Linked DNA regions of Drosophila melanogaster. The protein of the gene in region 1 interacts with the protein of each later gene in a pairwise test. Each region holds a gene or a part of one and is shown in the gene's direction. Other genes may lie near its edges. The genes, in order: CG3342, CG11771, CG13144 and CG8388.

Region 1 (3,867 bases):
GGCTAGCCCACAGATCTCTGACCCAGCTCAGCAAATGTATCTCAATGTTTCACTTCGTTCAGATAAGGTACAGTGCGGCCCATGAGTATATGGACTTGGGCTTAACTTTTCGATATAATTCGAGTATTAAGCTCAATCTTGCTAGCACTTTTGTGGTTTTAAGAAGATATTGTACCTGCAGGCATTCGGGATGCATGTGACCCAACACCGGATTGCTCATGGCCTCCAGGACGCGATGGGAACAGTTGGAGGGTCCGGGCCCCATCAACGTCTTGCTGGGCACATAGAGCGGTCGCTTGAGTACAAGTGGCGGTGGTACCTCCATGGTCTTTGTTCCCTATTTACGTAATCAGATCTCTGTGTTTACGACTGCCTTATCGCCTTCTGCTCTCTAATCCGCTGTGCCAGGTAGAATGGGTGTTACTACTGTTTGGTGATGGGAGTTGGTTTTTATGGGCTGTCTCTCTCGGTGGCTGGCCAAGATCGGACTGAAACGCTTGCCGGGCTGCTGGCCACTTTATAGCGCACCGGATCGCAGCTTATCGCCGCAATTTTCGCCGATGAACGCACTTGAACAAGTGGTAAATGATGCGCTCTCCCGCTTATCAAGGCATCAAGATCGAGAGCAACTGCGTCGTTGGCGGCACAGAACGAAATTTGGAATAAGAATAATAAGTTAAGACTGCCATTTGATGGGTCAAAAAATCATACACAGTTTTAAGACAAGATCTTTACGAAATAATATGACTTACTACTCAATTAATTTCATTGTTAATCTGAAAGAAGTACCATTTTTTGTTTGCAGTGTGCTGCTGCTGATTCTTTGAATGGCCTTGGGAAGGTTGGCGGACCAATGTCTATTGTGAAATAAGAAATCCAGCGAATTCAGCAAGACGAACCTTGACTGTGGGTACGTATACGTAATGTAGCAACTTCTTTTTCGAAGCTGGAAGCATCTGCAGAGTGCAGAGATCAAGATCTAGCATCTAGATCTTAATTCTCTCGAAATCTCAGCCCACTGACAACTAACATTTGGGTTGATAGCAGTGCCCGTATCGTCAGTTTTTCCATTAGCGATTTGGAGTGGAAAACACATCGTGACCAGGAGGTCAACCGCCAATAATACAAATGTCGTATTGAGTGGCCGAAAATATTTATTACCATTTCGCTGGTGGTGAAATTAGAATCAAAATAAAAACAAAAACATAGATTTAGGAAAGTGATAAGCAGTCAAATTAGCAGGTCGTGACTATAAAATTTAAATGTTCGTTTAAATATTGATTGATTTTTCCATATTTAAGGCACAAGCATCTTTTTAAAAACATTGTTTCGAATGTAGAAGTAAGTTCAGTTTGGTTTTAATATATTGAATTAATTATATTGAAACGAATTGAATATAGAATATATATTCTATTACAGTTGACTATATTAAACATATATATGTATAAATATGTTTATTTTATGGCCTTTTTGCTTAATATTTAGTTATAATATTTTATAATTTTCCTGAAAGCAATTCACCGGTGGAAACAAGTTTTCTTCGTTTTGGCGCTTGGTCACACTTTCTGTTTCGGTCAAAACAAACTGAACAATAGTTAATGTTTTTAAACATTTTCGATGCGACTGCATAATTAGGCATGGAAATCGGCAACGATCAGTCCTATCAGGACTTCTTCGACAAGTTGCGAAGGTGAGTCTGTTTCTGGACGGGATTGGGACACTTGGCACAGTGGTATATACATATTAAATATATATGAACTCCAGTGAATCGGGTCCTCGCAACTTGCGCCAGATCTTTGAGGACGACGATCGTCCGCTGGCGAACGAATCATCCAGCTTGCGCTATCAGCCAGGCAGCTCCAAAAAATTGCAGGCTGGCAAAAGACCGGCCATGACCAGGAGTAGCACCCAGGAGACGGGTGATTCACCGCCTGCCGCCTGGAACACGGCCATTGCCAAGGTGGTGCATGCCTATCGGAGCAGCGAGAACGTTGGACGCGTCGGCCTGGCCCTCTCGATTCTGGGCGAGATGGAGGCCAGCAAGCTGATTGTCTACCGCAGCAAGAGTCAGGTGCTGACCACGCTGCAGTTGACACCGCGTGGCGGCAAGGTGATACTGCGCGAATCCTATCTGCAGTTCTACGATGACGAGCAGCGCTTCTGGAGCCTGCGATTCGACAAGGAACCGGATGAGAAGGAATTCATAACGTTTATGGTCAAAAACAAACTGCCAGTGGAGCACTATCTCAGCGAGATCTCATCCTCCAGCTCGGCATCGCCTTCGCGTGAGGATTTATCTAAGATCCGAACTAAAGCAACGGTCACAAAGACGACGCCTAATCCGCCACAGCCGCAACCACGTTCCCGCGTAACGCTGCCAACGCTGGAGAAGGCGGACGATGAGGAACGCGAACGGGAAACAGAGACACCTTCCAATGAGGATGTGATAGTAACGCCAGTGCCGCGACCCATAGGTTCGTCAAATGCTCACAGGAAACTCAGTGCCAGTTCCCTGGCGGTGGCCAACGCTTCAACGAGCAGCGATACTCCGTTGGCTGTGACGACACTGGACAAATATCTAGACGAACAGCGTGCCTCGGGTGCGTTAATGGAGCACAAGATGGACGCCATTCTGCAGGCCATGAATCGCATGGGCGGCCAGTCGAGTGTTGCGCCCAAGAAGCCCAGTGATCCGCTGCTGGAACGCGACAGCGAGGACGAGATGCTGGAGCTGGAGCAGAAGCTGCTCAACTTGAAGCGGGAGAATCGAGCGCTAATGCGCAACCTCAAGGCACGCGAACAGGCGCTGGAGGATCTACGCTGCTCGGCGTGCGCCCTTTGCGAGGAGCTACTAGTCCAGAATGGCGAGCTCAAGTCGCAGAATGCCCAGCTGTTGTTAGCCAGCCAGCATATTTCCGATTCAAGCACAGCTGCTTCGCCTGCCCATTGCCGCAATTGCGAGTCGTCTTCCCGGCAAATAGCCAAAATGCAGCTACACATTTCCGCACTGCAGGAAGCGCTGCGAATCTTTCAGAAATCAGGCGACTCCAGCTCCAGTTCGGGTCGGTTATAGCACCTAACGTAGGCGTATTATATATGTTCGGTATTACTATCGAAAAGTGTATTAAATCATTTGTTAGGTCGCGTAACATATCCACAAATACAAGCCAGACACTATTAGCTATCTTTAAGTCATTAGATTGCCATGTTATTGGGCTCATTTACAAAGCGATTTTCTAATCTATTACAACTATTATTACTAAATGTGAGATATAAAATATGTTGCGGAAGATTATAATTAATAGCAACCCATGCTTTGCTCTCTCTCAATTATGAAAAACTCCGACTTCCTCTTGTACAAACTAATTTGTTGTATTTGCAGCACACATCGGGCTGAAATTTAAGGTATAGGGACAAGTCTACGGTTTGCGCGTCTCATAATCCGTGGGAAGAGTTCATGGAGAAGTTGTTTTGGGGCCTGGAACTGGAAGTGGAACTGGCAGTCTCTCTGTGGAAGTGAGGAGCGGAAAGGATGGGCTGGCGGTCCTGCTCCTTTACGTTTTTACGGCTAAAATGGAAAGCGAGCTAGTTTGCGGAGCGAGTGCTTTGGGAGGCAGCTGTCTATCCATCCTGATGCTGATCCAGATCCAGATACAGATCCACATCTAGATTCTCTTGCTGATCCAGTTAATCCTTGTTTGTTTCTTTTCTTTCTCAGTAGGTGCTGCTGTCGCTGAGGCTGCTCAGGTAGCTGCTGCCGGCGGTCGGAGCACCGGATCCGCCGGCACGATGTCGCTTCCGCTTCGCCTTGGTCTTCTTGCGTCGCAGCATGGCCGTGTCCGTGGACTTGCGCTTGTACTTGCCCTG
Region 2 (5,079 bases), on another chromosome or scaffold:
TCCTTTAATAGCAGCCAATCTAGATCCTCAAGAACCCTTTGAATTCCGACCATGTGAACTAGCAAAGGTTATCAAAGAGCAACTGAACCCAAGAAAATCGCCTGGCTACGACCTAATAACTCCAAGAATGCTCATTGAACTCCCAAAGTGTGCTATTCTTCACATCTGCCTGTTGTTCAACGCAATCGCCAAGCTTGGATACTTCCCTCAAAAATGGAAAAAGTCGACCATAGTAATGATTCCAAAGCCAGGAAAAGATAAAACGCAGCCATCATCATATAGACCGATAAGCTTACTAACATGTCTTTCAAAGCTGTTTGAAAAAATGCTACTCCTTCGGATTAGCCCTCATCTTAGAATAAACAACACACTTCCAACACATCAATTTGGCTTTAGAGAAAAACATGGAACCATCGAACAGGTCAACCGAATCACGTCAGAAATTCGTACTGCTTTTGAACATCGAGAATACTGCACAGCCATTTTTCTAGACGTCGCGCAGGCATTTGACAGAGTGTGGCTCGATGGACTTTTGTTTAAAATAATCAAGCTGTTGCCCCAAAACACACATAAGCTACTGAAGTCATACCTATATAACAGAGTGTTTGCAATAAGATGCGATACAAGCACTTCACGCGATTGCGCAATCGAAGCTGGAGTGCCGCAAGGCAGTGTACTGGGTCCAATCTTATACACCCTGTATACGGCGGATTTCCCCATAGACTACAATCTAACAACCTCCACGTTCGCTGATGATACCGCGATACTCAGTCGCTCGAAATGCCCAATAAAAGCCACGGCACTCCTATCCCGACACTTAACATCTGTAGAACGATGGCTTGCCGACTGGAGAATTTCAATAAATGTTCAAAAATGCAAGCAGGTTACCTTTACCTTAAACAAACAAACATGCCCACCACTGGTCTTGAATAACATATGCATTCCACAAGCCGACGAGGTAACATATCTGGGAGTTCATCTGGACAGGCGGCTCACTTGGCGCAAACATATAGAAGCCAAATCGAAACATCTTAAACTTAAAGCAAGGAACCTCCACTGGCTCATAAATGCTCGCTCTCCACTTAGTCTGGAGTTCAAAGCTCTTCTATACAACTCCGTCTTAAAACCTATCTGGACTTATGGCTCCGAGCTGTGGGGCAACGCATCCAGAAGTAACATAGACATTATTCAGCGAGCACAGTCAAGAATTCTGAGAATTATCACTGGAGCGCCGTGGTACCTTCGGAACGAAAACATACACAGAGACCTAAAAATCAAATTAGTAATCGAAGTAATAGCTGAGAAAAAAACGAAGTATAACGAAAAGCTGACCACCCATACAAATCCCCTCGCAAGAAAACTAATCCGAGTATGCAGTCAAAGCCGGCTGCACCGCAACGACCTCCCAGCCCAGCAATAAACTTATTAGGGCATTAATGAAAAAAAAAAAACTATCACTAAGTGAAAGTTAATTAAGTTAGATTAAGATTTGAACACTTATTGTTAGTCTCTTAACACAAAGGGAAGATTCAATAAATAATAAAAATTAAAAAAAAAAAAAAAAAAAAAAAGAGAAGTCACAGATTAGGATAGATTGGATTCAGTGACTGCAGTAAAGTGTGATTTTCGCATCACTGCCGGCTCCACCGCTGATGGTGGCAACCCTGGCCGCTGTCACTTGCTTTTTGGTCCAGGCGTGTTGTGTAAACGCTGGCCCCCATTTCAGAATCCCAAATTCCGGCGCAAACTGTCCGGAATTGTACATATCTGGATTAACGACTTCACCTAGGACATGCTAAATCTCCTACGAAGGCGCCCAACGTCGGTGCCCCTCATCCGGGCCGCGCTTAGCGCTCCGCTGCACTCAACGGAAAACCGGCCGGGTTACATAGTGCTGTAAGTACGAAAATTACCCGGATTCAACATGTGGAGTCACTAAACCTATCCCCGCAGGGTACCGGAGATCGGTGAGGAGGGACCGCTAGGCGAGGGCGTGCTCAAGCCGGACGGACTTCCCGCCTTCAGTGACATCACCATCGAGATGTGCTTGGGCGCCATTGGTCAGCAGGCATCGGCGGTGGAGAACTCGGTGAAGGCGCTGGAGAGCGACCTGCACAGTGGCAAGCAGCTAAATGCCGCCAGCATCTTTCGGGAGCTGGACACCGTGACGGGTCCACTGGAGACGACATGGGGTGTGGCCAAGGCTCTGTACCTGGGCAATTCTACCCTGATACCCACCAAATCCTACATGAACATCCACGAACGAGCGCGTAACGCTCGGGCAGCGAAGTTCTGCAATCAAACGGTGTATAAGGCACTCAAGGATGCTTCGTCCGATTCGGGTCCAGATGAGCAGAGGATGCGACAGAAGTTCCTGCTCGAGGGCAAGCTGAACGGGCTCACGCTGGACAAAGATAAGCAGGATGGACTGAAAGAGCTGCTTACCCATTTGGGTCGAGAGAGAGCCAACTTCAAGAACAAGGTCAACATGGCAGTGCACTCGTTTGGACAGATTATTACGGACTTCAATCTTGTAAGAGATTTCCCGCCTTCGCTTCTTGAGGCAACAGCCCGCGATCCCGGACAACCTATGACGGGTCCTTGGAAGATAACCCTACAGCCTCAAGTGGTCGATGGTTTTCTAAAGCACTGCCCAGAGCGAATGCAGCGTTGGAACGTCTGGAGGGCCAGTGTGCTGAAGGCATCCTCGCAGCAGGAAAAATCCCTGGAGAACAGCACACACATCGAAAAAATACGCGGTTTGCGCAAGCGACAGGCAAATCTGTTGGGCTATGAAAGCTTTGCAGACATGTCCATGCAGACCAAAATGGTGGGCAGTGTGGACAACCTTAAGCAGATCTTTGCCAAGCTTCTCAAGTTCGCCGGCCCTGCTCAAAGTGTGGAGCTGGAGAAACTACAGGGCTTCGCTCAGGACAGTGGCTGTGAATACAAGCTGGAAGCCTACGACGTTGCCTACTGGCGGCGCAAGCAACTGGCGGCGGAGCACGGTCTCCAAGATCAGAAGCTCCGCGAGTTTTTCCCACTGCCCCGCGTTCTTTCCGGCTTGTTTGCGCTGAGTGAAAAGCTCTTCGGCATCAAAATAGTTGAGCAGCCCAATGCGGAGGTGTGGCATCCGGCAGTTAAGTTCTACGATGTGTTCGATGCTGATTCCGTCAATAGCTCCACCCCGGTGGGTGGCTTTTATGTGGACTGCTATTCCAAGGAGCACAAGTTCGGCAGAAACAATGGTTGGATGGTGGGCATACGGAACAGCAATAAGTCTGCCGGGCTGACGCCTCTCTGTGCGCTGATATTTAACTTTTCGGAGCCACAAAGTCCGGATGCCAAGCCCCCGCTTCTTGGATACGATGATCTGCAGATGCTCTTCAAGACTTTTGGAAGCGGACTCCAACACCTGCTCACCCAAGCGGGGTACAGCGATTTGGCGGGACTCTCAAACATCGAGTGGGATGCCTCTCAAGTGTCCGGTCATGTGATGAGCAACTTCCTCGACGATCCCACAGTGATTCGAAGCCTATCCGGACACTTTAGCAGCGGTGAGCCCTTGGAGGCTGAGCTTTCACAGAAGATGCGATTGCTGAAGACTCAGTTGGCTGGCTATAATCTGTGCCAGGACCTCTACCTGGCGGATCTCGACGTGGAGCTGCACCGCTCGAATGCCTTCTGGCTGGAGGTGGTTCGCAAGCTGTGGCCGGTTTATCAATGCATGCCGCTGGACAAGAAGGACGCACATCCGTGCTCCCTGACCGACATTTTTGCCGGAGATTGGGCGGCCGCCCAGTTCAGTCACTTGTATTCCCGCCTCATAGCCGCCGACATTTCGAGCAGCTTTGCTGAGCAGCGAAGCGAAGAGAACTACGCGGTCGTTGGCCGGCGCTACAAGCAGACCTTCCTCAGCTGCGGCGGATCTGTGCCCACGGCGGAAGTGTTCCGTCGCTTCCAGGGTCGCGACCCGTCGGCCGAGGCACTTCTAAAGTCGCTGGACATATTTGAACCCTCCCAGACCACAGATAACAACTGAGGGTCGCCCTCTGTTCCGCTAAAACGTTATCTATTGTGTGTAGTCAACAAATGCTGATCGATGGCAGCCTGTGGAGGCCCGACGAGTGGCAACCTTATAGGAAAGTAAGCATTGGAGTATTGGAAAATATTTTAAAATAGTTTTGAAATGTATTCTGTTAAATATTTGTTTATTGGTCAAGATCCCACTTGTACTTATTTAAAAGAAAGTATAGCCGTAATTGAATGACCCCAGCCAGGAAACTGAAAACCAAAAACGATTGATAAGGGCTTTATAAATTTTGGAAGTGTAACTATTAAAACAAGAATTCTATACTTTACGCCTCCACGATTTATTAGTCGGCAATTCGATCTACACCCTAATTGGCAGCCGGATGTGATAGCGATCGCGTGAGTCAGGCGGGATCTTATCGCAGGTGTGCAGGTGGTGTCGCCAGGCGACATCGTCAGTTACCCCAGTTGAACACACATACACACACACGTTGTTGCTTTATTTAAATAATACTTTAATAATAAATTGCATAAATTTATAACATTTAACATATTCTCTCGCTTCTTGCTCGGTTCTCTCGATTCGGTTCGATATATTTATATACACAACAAAGGCGAAGTATGCATTCAGCGGAAAGGAAAAAGACATCTAGGGGTTTGGATGGAAACCGAGGATTAAGAGCTATCATCTGTCTTGGCCTTCTGTTGGAAAGCCACTAGAAATGGTTAACCGGTAGTCAGGAAGAAATAATCAAAGTACATTTCGACGCAGGGGTATGGATTAAACTTGGTTAGTTTACAGGAATTAATTTATATATATATATATATATAAATATGCTCTAGATCAAAGTGTGGTACTACAATATGCGTATGTGCTGCTCCGAAATCAGTCGGAGCGTGTCCCGCTGTGGTGTGTTAGTTGTGTGTGGAGGCTGGATATCTGAAAACTTTAGAATATTCGCTAAGGCTGCTATGTGTGGTAGTGGCTGCAGTTGCTCCCTTGGCTGCTCCGTTGGCTACTGCTGTCTAGTATATGTCCGGACAGCC
Region 3 (3,741 bases), on another chromosome or scaffold:
GTCTGCAGATTATCGCCGCCACTGCGCTGGCCGGAAGACGACCCTATTGGGGTCAAGCGCGCCGCTGGGTGGGTGATTATCTGGCCAACTCGCAGGAGAACAGCGGATATGAAGCCTACAACGGAAGCATAAAGAACATAAGGAACCACCCCGCCGACGGCGAGACCTTCCAGCAAGTGCTCTTCTCCTCATTCGTCAAGAAGTTCAACCATTTCAACAAGCAGGCTAATCGCGCCTTCATCGTTTCCGATTCGACCATCCACAAACTGGACGGTATCAAGAATAAATTTAAGGACATGAAACGCACCATTAAAATTAGGGAGGTTAGTAGATAGTATAATAATATATTATATTATTATATTATAATATTAATTCCGTATCTTGACTTCGCTTACAGTTGACGTCCATTAGTGTCTCACCCGGCCGGGATCAACTAATCGTCTTCCACTCGTCGAAAAACAAGGATTTAGTGTTTTCCCTGGAGAGCGAGTACACGCCCCTCAAGGAAGATCGCATTGGCGAAGTGGTGGGCATTGTGTGCAAGAAATACCATGAGTAAGTGGAACGCCCATTTAGTATGTTCACCAGATATTAATATCAAATCCTTTCCAGCCTCACTGGAACCGAGTTGCGTGTGAATGTGACCACCAATATTTCCTGTCGCCTAGACGGCAAGGCACGCATTATTACCGTGGAGGCGGCGTCCAATGTGGAGGTCCCCAACTTCCGTCCTAAAGAGGGCAACATCATTTTCGAGGTGCCGGCGGCGTACTGCGTTTAGGCGGAATCAACTCCGCCCAACTGTATTGTAAATTATGGAACCTAGTTTTAAGACTGGGCTCATCACCCTCTTTTCTACTTGTGACCCATGTGTCCCACCAAGGACATGACGACTCTGTGTATACCGTGCCTTCCGCCAAACACCCGCTTTGTAGTTTTTAATACGTCATTCTATAGTTAGTCCTATCTGTTTATCTGTTCTGTGTGTGACGACATGATTGTAATTTTGTACATTTTTCTATTATGCGTATGCGTTAAGGCGATATTTATTTAACATCCATGTGAGAGGAATACCACCTCCGCCGGTTGAGCTGGCCGACGAAAAGAACGAAAAGTATTAAATGTACTTTGTGCATTTCTTCAAATATGATTCACAGCACACAAGAAACCATTTGTAACGATCAGTAAAATGTTTGTACTTAAAGCGAAAGATCACAAACATATGTGTGCCATTTGCAAATATTATTGAAATAATATATGAAATAAAAGATGTAAACTTTGTACTTGAGAAAGCTGGTTAATGACTATTTTTTTATATCAATAAGTTAAAGAGAAGTTAACTTACCAAACATAAGCATAATGTGCATAAGTTCCCTATCCCAACCTTGATCTGAATTGAACCCATTCAAAATTTCGGTCATTTCGTCATGAATTCCCCCAAAATGTGCGTTCGGCATTTGAATATCTGTGAGTTTCTGCATCTGTGAATCTTTTTCAAATGCTGCTTTAAATCCAAACGTAAAATCCGTACGCATTCGTATGCGAATGCGATCAAAATGTATTGGCAGAGACCGAAATAAAGTGCACATGGCTCGCCGCCGATTGATAAAAGATAAAAATAAAGAGATCGGCCTCTCTTTATGCGGAATGTGCGCTCGCATTCGCCTGTAAATTCTCGAAGGGAACGCGTGCAATTCGGAGCATCGAAGCACCCAAGGTGATTACATAAAGCCAGAAAACCAGAACCATGCAGAAGGCCATCAAGAAGGAGCTCAGCTTCTCGCTGGACACGCTGGAGCGCTATAGGGCCAAGTACGGACGCAGTGCATCGCTGGACACAAACGGCACACCAATTGCACACACAGACGGCGACCAGGCTGCTCCTGCGCCGCCACCGCCCTCGATCTTCACAAAGTCGTTGTCGCCACCAAAGATGACCAAGCTTCAGGAGTTGCAGCAGAAGAAGGAGGCCTATTTAAGGGCCAAGGAGCACGAGCGGGAAATGGAGCAGCTGCAGCGCACAGAAAGAAGGTCCATCATAAATGGTTCGGATACGCCCAAGCCCAAGACAGGCAGTCCAACGAGCACTTCACCGACTCCCAATGCAAGTTCCTCGTCAACCGCTGCCGTGGCTACCAAGACCTCCAGTCCAGCTGGCTACACCAACTGGTCGAATCACCATGCCACACTCTGCTCCCAGTCGTGGGTGGCCATCTCCGAGCTCATGTACTTTTGCGACAAGTATGAGTTCACCACCCTCAGCACACGCGATCTGAGGACGCACCAGGAGATCGTGGCCGAGGTGAGAGCTCTGCTGTCCGGCAAGGCGCCCTTCGATCAACGCACCCGCTTCCCGGGTAACATTCACGATCCGGAGAACTTGTGGGTTTGCATCGGTCGCTGTGCCAGCGTGGAATACCATCTGCAGCGCATCATCAGCATCTTTCGCAAACCTCTCAATCAATTGACACCGGACAAACAGCGAACGGTGCGTCAGAATTTCCACCTGGCGGTCAGCGAACTGCGGCTGGACATCTCGGCGAGGATTAGCGAGGTGCGGCTGTACGATCGCCTGGTCTTTGAGCGCGAGTTCCGGCTGGAGTGGCTGGATGAGGAGGCCTAGTGGATTAAATGGTTTAAAGGATGAGTTAGGTGGACAATAACGTTTATTGGCAATTCTTCGCTCTTTTTTGCGGTGCGCGGTGGAAAAAACGGTTACAAAAATACACTTGGACACAGGAGGCCGGAGCATGGAGCACACGACTATGGTAACCAGTGTGCTGGCTGCTCCATTCAACATACATATAAGGGGTATCTCGTCAACTGATCATCATTATGATTTCTTTGGCTGCAATTGATTTGCTTAGTAGTTAACGTAAGGAACATTTTCAATCAGAAAGATTTTACATAAATTCTGTGTAGATTCTATTGTACAAAGCATTAGGACAATCATAATCAAAATCAGTTGTCGCACATGCCCATATACAAAGTTAACCACATATTTCACAAATCTAGGCCATGGATTCCTGCAACAACTGCTCGCACAACTAAATCTAAAGGCCGCCGGCGGTCAGGTGGAATCTGAGGATACAGCTCGAGCCTGTCCGCCGATCAGGACAACTTATTGCTCCGTAATACGTAATACAAACATTTATATATATGTACACAATGCTAGCGGTATAAATAAAGCACTTTTGTGTGGGCCAACATGGATTTGCTTGCGAACAAGTGTGCTGCTAGTGCGGAGTGCTTTAACATCTAGCGGAAGATTCAGGTTGCAGATTATCATAGTTCTTTTTGGATCCCAGGGATCTCTTCAGTGGGTTCGTTTAACGTGCAGCTAGTCAACATCTGTGTAATCTGTAATCTTTAATGCCAAAGAACATCGAATGGCGGAATGAACCTAGCAGAACTTGAGCTTCATCTTGCTGGTCTTGGGCACATTACGGATGGTGAGGGAGATGCGCGGCGATCGGCGTACTAAGTGATCCCCGATCTTGTAGGTATTCTCGCACAGATCGTAGTTGGAGATGCGATCGCAGAGCACATCCTCGCTAGTCTCGGAGATGGCGTGCAGATAGTCGGTGTACAGCGTGTCCTTGAGGATGAGCAGGCTGCGCGGTTCCAGCAGCAGCTTGAAGAGCACTTCACGGGTCGTCTGATCTCCAGCTTCTGTTTCAGTTGTGGTGTCCTCACGCTTGACAAACTCCAGCACGGTATGAGCACCCGTGGAAATGGTGG
Region 4 (4,463 bases), on another chromosome or scaffold:
GGACATCATGCTCAGACCCAGACCGCCGGCCAGTTTTTCCGAGCGGCAATGCGCCGATATGGTGAGATTGTTGTTGATTACAGTGGCTGATTTCATCATGCCTGTCAACACAGACATGGTGATGATCACGGGCAGCGTTTGATTCTCGGCAAGCACACAGCGAGCGACAAAGAGTCCAACAATGCCGATCAGGAACACTACGCGATAGGGTATTCTAAGGTGATCTGTGACGATGGGCAGCAGCAAACGGAACACAATGTCGGCGCCAGCCACAAGGGACATGCAGAAGGCCACCATTTGGCTGTTAAGTTGTGCCGTTTGTCCAAGAAAACCAGGAAAGATCATCGTGAAGTTTATGGTGGCCGTATAGACTAGAGCCATGCCCACAATGATGCTCCAGAATACTAAATCTTTGAGCAGCTCCAGATCCATTGCCTGTACCAACCGCTGTCCCATTCGGCTGCACAGAGTATCCACATTTGGCGGGCTACGCTCGATCTTGCTTTGATTAGTCGGAACAATCACCACCTGAAGGGGACTAGTCTTTTCCCCATCGGCCTCGGTCAGGAGTCGAATGTGTTTGCGGTTGTTGTGCTTGGCAGGTGGGTTTAGTGGTTTCAAGAAGGCAGCACCAAAAAGCTGTAAGGTACTCGGGCTGTAAGCATTGGATCAACATAATATTATATTCTTAACTTACCCCAAATAGTGATAGGGAAGACATGGATAGGACTGCGTAGCGGAAGCCGTGGTTATCCAAGAGGTAACGCACTAGGTGAGGGATAAGCACCTGTCCAAGGCCAGCACCTGCCAATGAAACACCTACAGCCCGTCCTCGTTTAGTGGTGAAGTACGAGTTAATGGCCATGAATGTGGACGGCGAGATGAGGCCGAGTCCAAAGCCTACGAAGAAACTGTAGCCCAGAATGAAGTGCCAGCTTTCAGAGGCAAAGGCGCACAGAGCCAGGCCCAGGGCGACTAGGATGCAACCTGTAGCAGCTACATTTCGCGGCTTAAAGCTCTTAATCGCGGGTCCAATGAAGAGGCCAGAGAAATTGAGAGCTAGGCTGTTTAGATTCGTGATCAGGGCCGCCGTAAATGTGTCCTCTTGCATTTTCTGCAGCTCACCCACAAAGAGCTGGCCGAACACTGACAAAATGGATTGGTTGGTCATCTGGATGCCGGCATATGCAATAAATATGTTTAGTTTTGGGTATTCCTTTTAAAGACTATTGAACACTCACATTAATCAATGCAACGGCGGCCACCACAATCCATCCGTAGCCCCCATCGGGGACAACGCGACTCGATTGCACATCCATGACTGTGCTCTCCGAGTTTCTCGTCGAGATTAAGCTGGCTAAAAATATGTAAACAGCGATAAGTGGACTGTTATTAAAACGTCTGGATTTGTTTATGGCGTCTAAAGACAGGTGTAAAAGTGCGTTCCGATAAGCCCGGCGAAATGGCATTTACCCAGTGGAGACGAGTTGAACGGCTCGTCTCAGAGATTTCCCCAAACTGCGTGGCCATTTCGCAAGCAACGTTTTAACAAATTAAGGCGAATTAAAGCCTAAATTAAAATAAATTAATCCCAAAGTCACAAAACTTTGAATCAGTATGACCTCTCTGCGAATGCCATAAAACGTATATTCGGAAATATTGCGCACTTCCAGATATTGCGATATGCACCTTCTTTTTATGTGCGAAACTGTCAGTACAGATTCGTTTAATAAAATATTTAGGGTTTACTTTTCCAGATAGTGCTTATCTAAGTGCTTATTATAAGCAAGTGAAAACAAATAACCCGAAGTTTTTAATTCAAAAACACGACTATGGTCCCACTATTCTGGCGCCGCTTATCGATAGCCGCTAGCGATGACAGTAATCAGCTGTGCTTTGCCCTGTTTTCATTTGTAGAATAACACACATTTTTAATAATTTTTTTTGTATATTTTCGCGCGTCTCTCTCACAAATGCCTTGTTTTCTGTGCACTCAGACTGTGGATGATGCGGCGGGCAATATAGAGTTTGCCTCGGAGGAAGCCGATTCACTTGGCCTGCGGTGCATCATCGAGAAACACTTCTGGCTTCAGGTAAACAAACAAATATTACCTGTGTTATTATTGTTATTGTTATTGAAGAGTGATCTTTTTCAGATCCCTGACTCAAAAAGAGCCGGCTATGTGTGCGGCCCCTGCTGGGAGCAGCTACTGCTCTTTCACAACTTTTACCTCAATGTGGAACAAGCCCACAAAGCGCTGGAGCAAACTGTTTTGAAGGAGACATCTCCGCCAGAAGTGGTTGCTTCCGCTCTAGAAGAGCACATCGTTAAAAGCGAGCATGACGACAGCGTAGCCGCTGCCGTCAAACGCCGACGTGGACGTCCTCGAAAAGTCGCTCAACAGGATGCACGCGAGGAGTTGAAGAGCGTGCTGGAGCAAATCAATTTAAATGAAATAAAAATCGAGTTCCCCGAAGCTGACTTGACAATTGCCGATGTGCTTGAGGATCAGGAGGAGCAGGATTTCCTACCCGACGACTGCATCAGCAAGGAGGGAGCGGAGGATCCAGAGGTTTTGGAGAAAAAACCGCCGACGCTTAAGCGAAAGGTTAGCGGACGCTCAAGAGGTCGTCGACGCGTGCAACTCGCGGAACGGCCCAATACAAGCTGTCTGCCCAAAATCCAGAAATCACAAGAGTTTAATGATTATATTCGCGAGCACTATAAAGTTCAGTGCCACATCTGTAACTTGCCAATGGAGGACTTCTCCGAGATGCTGGCCCATGTACGACGGGAGCACAAGCAGCGCGGCTATGCAATGTGTTGCAACCGAAAATTCCTTAAGCGGGGAGTTCTTGTCGACCACTTGCGCCGCCACCAGGACCCTGAAACCTTTAAGTGCTCCATCTGCGGCCGCGTGATGGGCCACCGTCGAAGTCTTGAGTTGCACATGCGCATGCATGAGATCAAATCTCGCGGACGACTATACCGCTGTGAACAGTGCTCCAAGGCCTTCTACAGCGCCGTCGTCTATGAGCGCCACAAGCTGACTCACATTCCACGAGAGCAGTGGAAGGTCCCTTGCACGCACTGCGAGAAAACGTGAGTGACCGAAAGATTTACTCTTTCTCAGATAGCTACATTTGTATTTTTCAGTTATCCCAGTCAGTATACGATGCAGCAACATGTTAAGCTGGTCCATTTGAATTTATATGCCAAGATCTGTGATGTCTGTGGAAAATCGATCAGAGGACGCGAAGCCTTGGCCAGGCACATGGAGGAGCACACGGGAGGGCCGCAGGCAGCAATCAAATGCCACTTGTGCGACTCAATGCTAACCACCAAATATGGACTGGCCCGCCACATAAAAATGATGCATACCGCTGAGAACCTGCAGCCGATGCAGTGTGAATTTTGTCTTAAGATATGCCCCAGTCTACAGGCACACCAGCACCATATCAAGTACACCCACAATACGGCACGTAGTCATCAGTGTCCTATGTGCGAAAAGGCCTTCAAGAGACCAAATGAACTAAAGGTAATTAGCGAAATCAGTGACCGATGAAAGCAATTGATTTTGAACTGTTCTTGCAGGAACACATGACAACCCACACGGGCGAGGTTTTGTACACATGCCCCCATTGCCCGCAAACCTTCAATTCAAATGCCAACATGCATGCGCACCGCAAAAAGGTGCACCGCAAGGAGTGGGAGGAGAACCGACACAAGCGACTGAATCGTTCTCGCAAATCAGACACCATCATCGCCGTCAGCGTACGAAAGACCACAGAGACCAGGCAGGATGGAGGGTTGGTACCTGCAGAAGCGATAGCAACTACCAGCAGCCCTCGAGCAGAATGCTAGCCCTAGGTGACCTTTTGACGCAATAAAAAACCAAATGGGACACCGTACCCCTATTGTGATGACTGCAGTGGCGGGGTAAACAAATTATGTGATTATTAATTGAAATCCCTGTGTCGATGGGATCAACCGGCTGAAACTGGTTTGTCCATCTGCCCCCCGATCATCTCGAACTGGTAAAACGGACATCGGAGCTGGCGTTATCAGCGATTAAGGTCGAATCTGGTAATTCATAACACATATAGACGCATATAGCACAACGGTTCAGTTTAAATACTCTTATTTTGACGACGACCAACCCGGGATGCTTCAACGGCTCAGGCAGACGGAGAAACCAGTTTGAGTCGGTTTGGAAAAGTGGATTTAATCCTTATCAGCGAATTGGCATTATCATGGTATCAGTTCAAAGGTATCATCAATCGGCGTGTGTGTTTGTACACATTCTAGTCTTCTGCGGAATCCTCAATCTGTGCCAAAGAAATGACTAGGCACGTTATGATGTTTTGTTTTTTCATCTGTGGCAACATCTTATTTACCAATGGAATATTTGGAAAGTTTTGCAAGCCACACATGGTGCGACGCAAATCTGCCATGATCTATT

The links.
Region 2: the proteins of CG3342 (region 1) and CG11771 interact in a two-hybrid assay, tested with the Drosophila melanogaster proteins (one large-scale study listed by BioGRID).
Region 3: the proteins of CG3342 (region 1) and CG13144 interact in a two-hybrid assay, tested with the Drosophila melanogaster proteins (one large-scale study listed by BioGRID).
Region 4: the proteins of CG3342 (region 1) and CG8388 interact in a two-hybrid assay, tested with the Drosophila melanogaster proteins (one large-scale study listed by BioGRID).

What each region holds. Positions count from the first base shown.
Region 1 is NC_004354.4:6,525,574-6,529,440, reverse strand, and holds CG3342 (uncharacterized protein), read left to right. Parts: upstream 1-1,552; 5' UTR 1,553-1,637; coding exon 1,638-1,690; intron 1,691-1,764; coding exon 1,765-3,073; 3' UTR 3,074-3,335; downstream 3,336-3,867. Other genes in the region: Agxt (Alanine-glyoxylate aminotransferase), read right to left, coding at 176-325; CG3918 (uncharacterized protein), read right to left, coding at 3,715-3,867.
Region 2 is NT_033777.3:24,930,341-24,935,419, forward strand, and holds CG11771 (uncharacterized protein), read left to right. Parts: upstream 1-1,669; 5' UTR 1,670-1,792; coding exon 1,793-1,896; intron 1,897-1,953; coding exon 1,954-4,042; 3' UTR 4,043-4,579; downstream 4,580-5,079. Other genes in the region: Osbp (oxysterol binding protein), read right to left, coding at 5,059-5,079.
Region 3 is NT_033779.5:10,489,371-10,493,111, reverse strand, and holds CG13144 (uncharacterized protein), read left to right. Parts: upstream 1-1,657; 5' UTR 1,658-1,747; coding exon 1,748-2,623; 3' UTR 2,624-3,212; downstream 3,213-3,741. Other genes in the region: Myo31DF (myosin 31DF), read left to right, coding at 1-323, 398-555, 613-781; CG6144 (uncharacterized protein), read right to left, coding at 3,404-3,741.
Region 4 is NT_033778.4:16,008,849-16,013,311, reverse strand, and holds CG8388 (uncharacterized protein), read left to right. Parts: upstream 1-1,873; 5' UTR 1,874-1,973; coding exon 1,974-2,093; intron 2,094-2,156; coding exon 2,157-3,103; intron 3,104-3,157; coding exon 3,158-3,539; intron 3,540-3,595; coding exon 3,596-3,865; 3' UTR 3,866-3,911; downstream 3,912-4,463. Other genes in the region: CG8389 (uncharacterized protein), read right to left, coding at 1-639, 698-1,171, 1,242-1,319.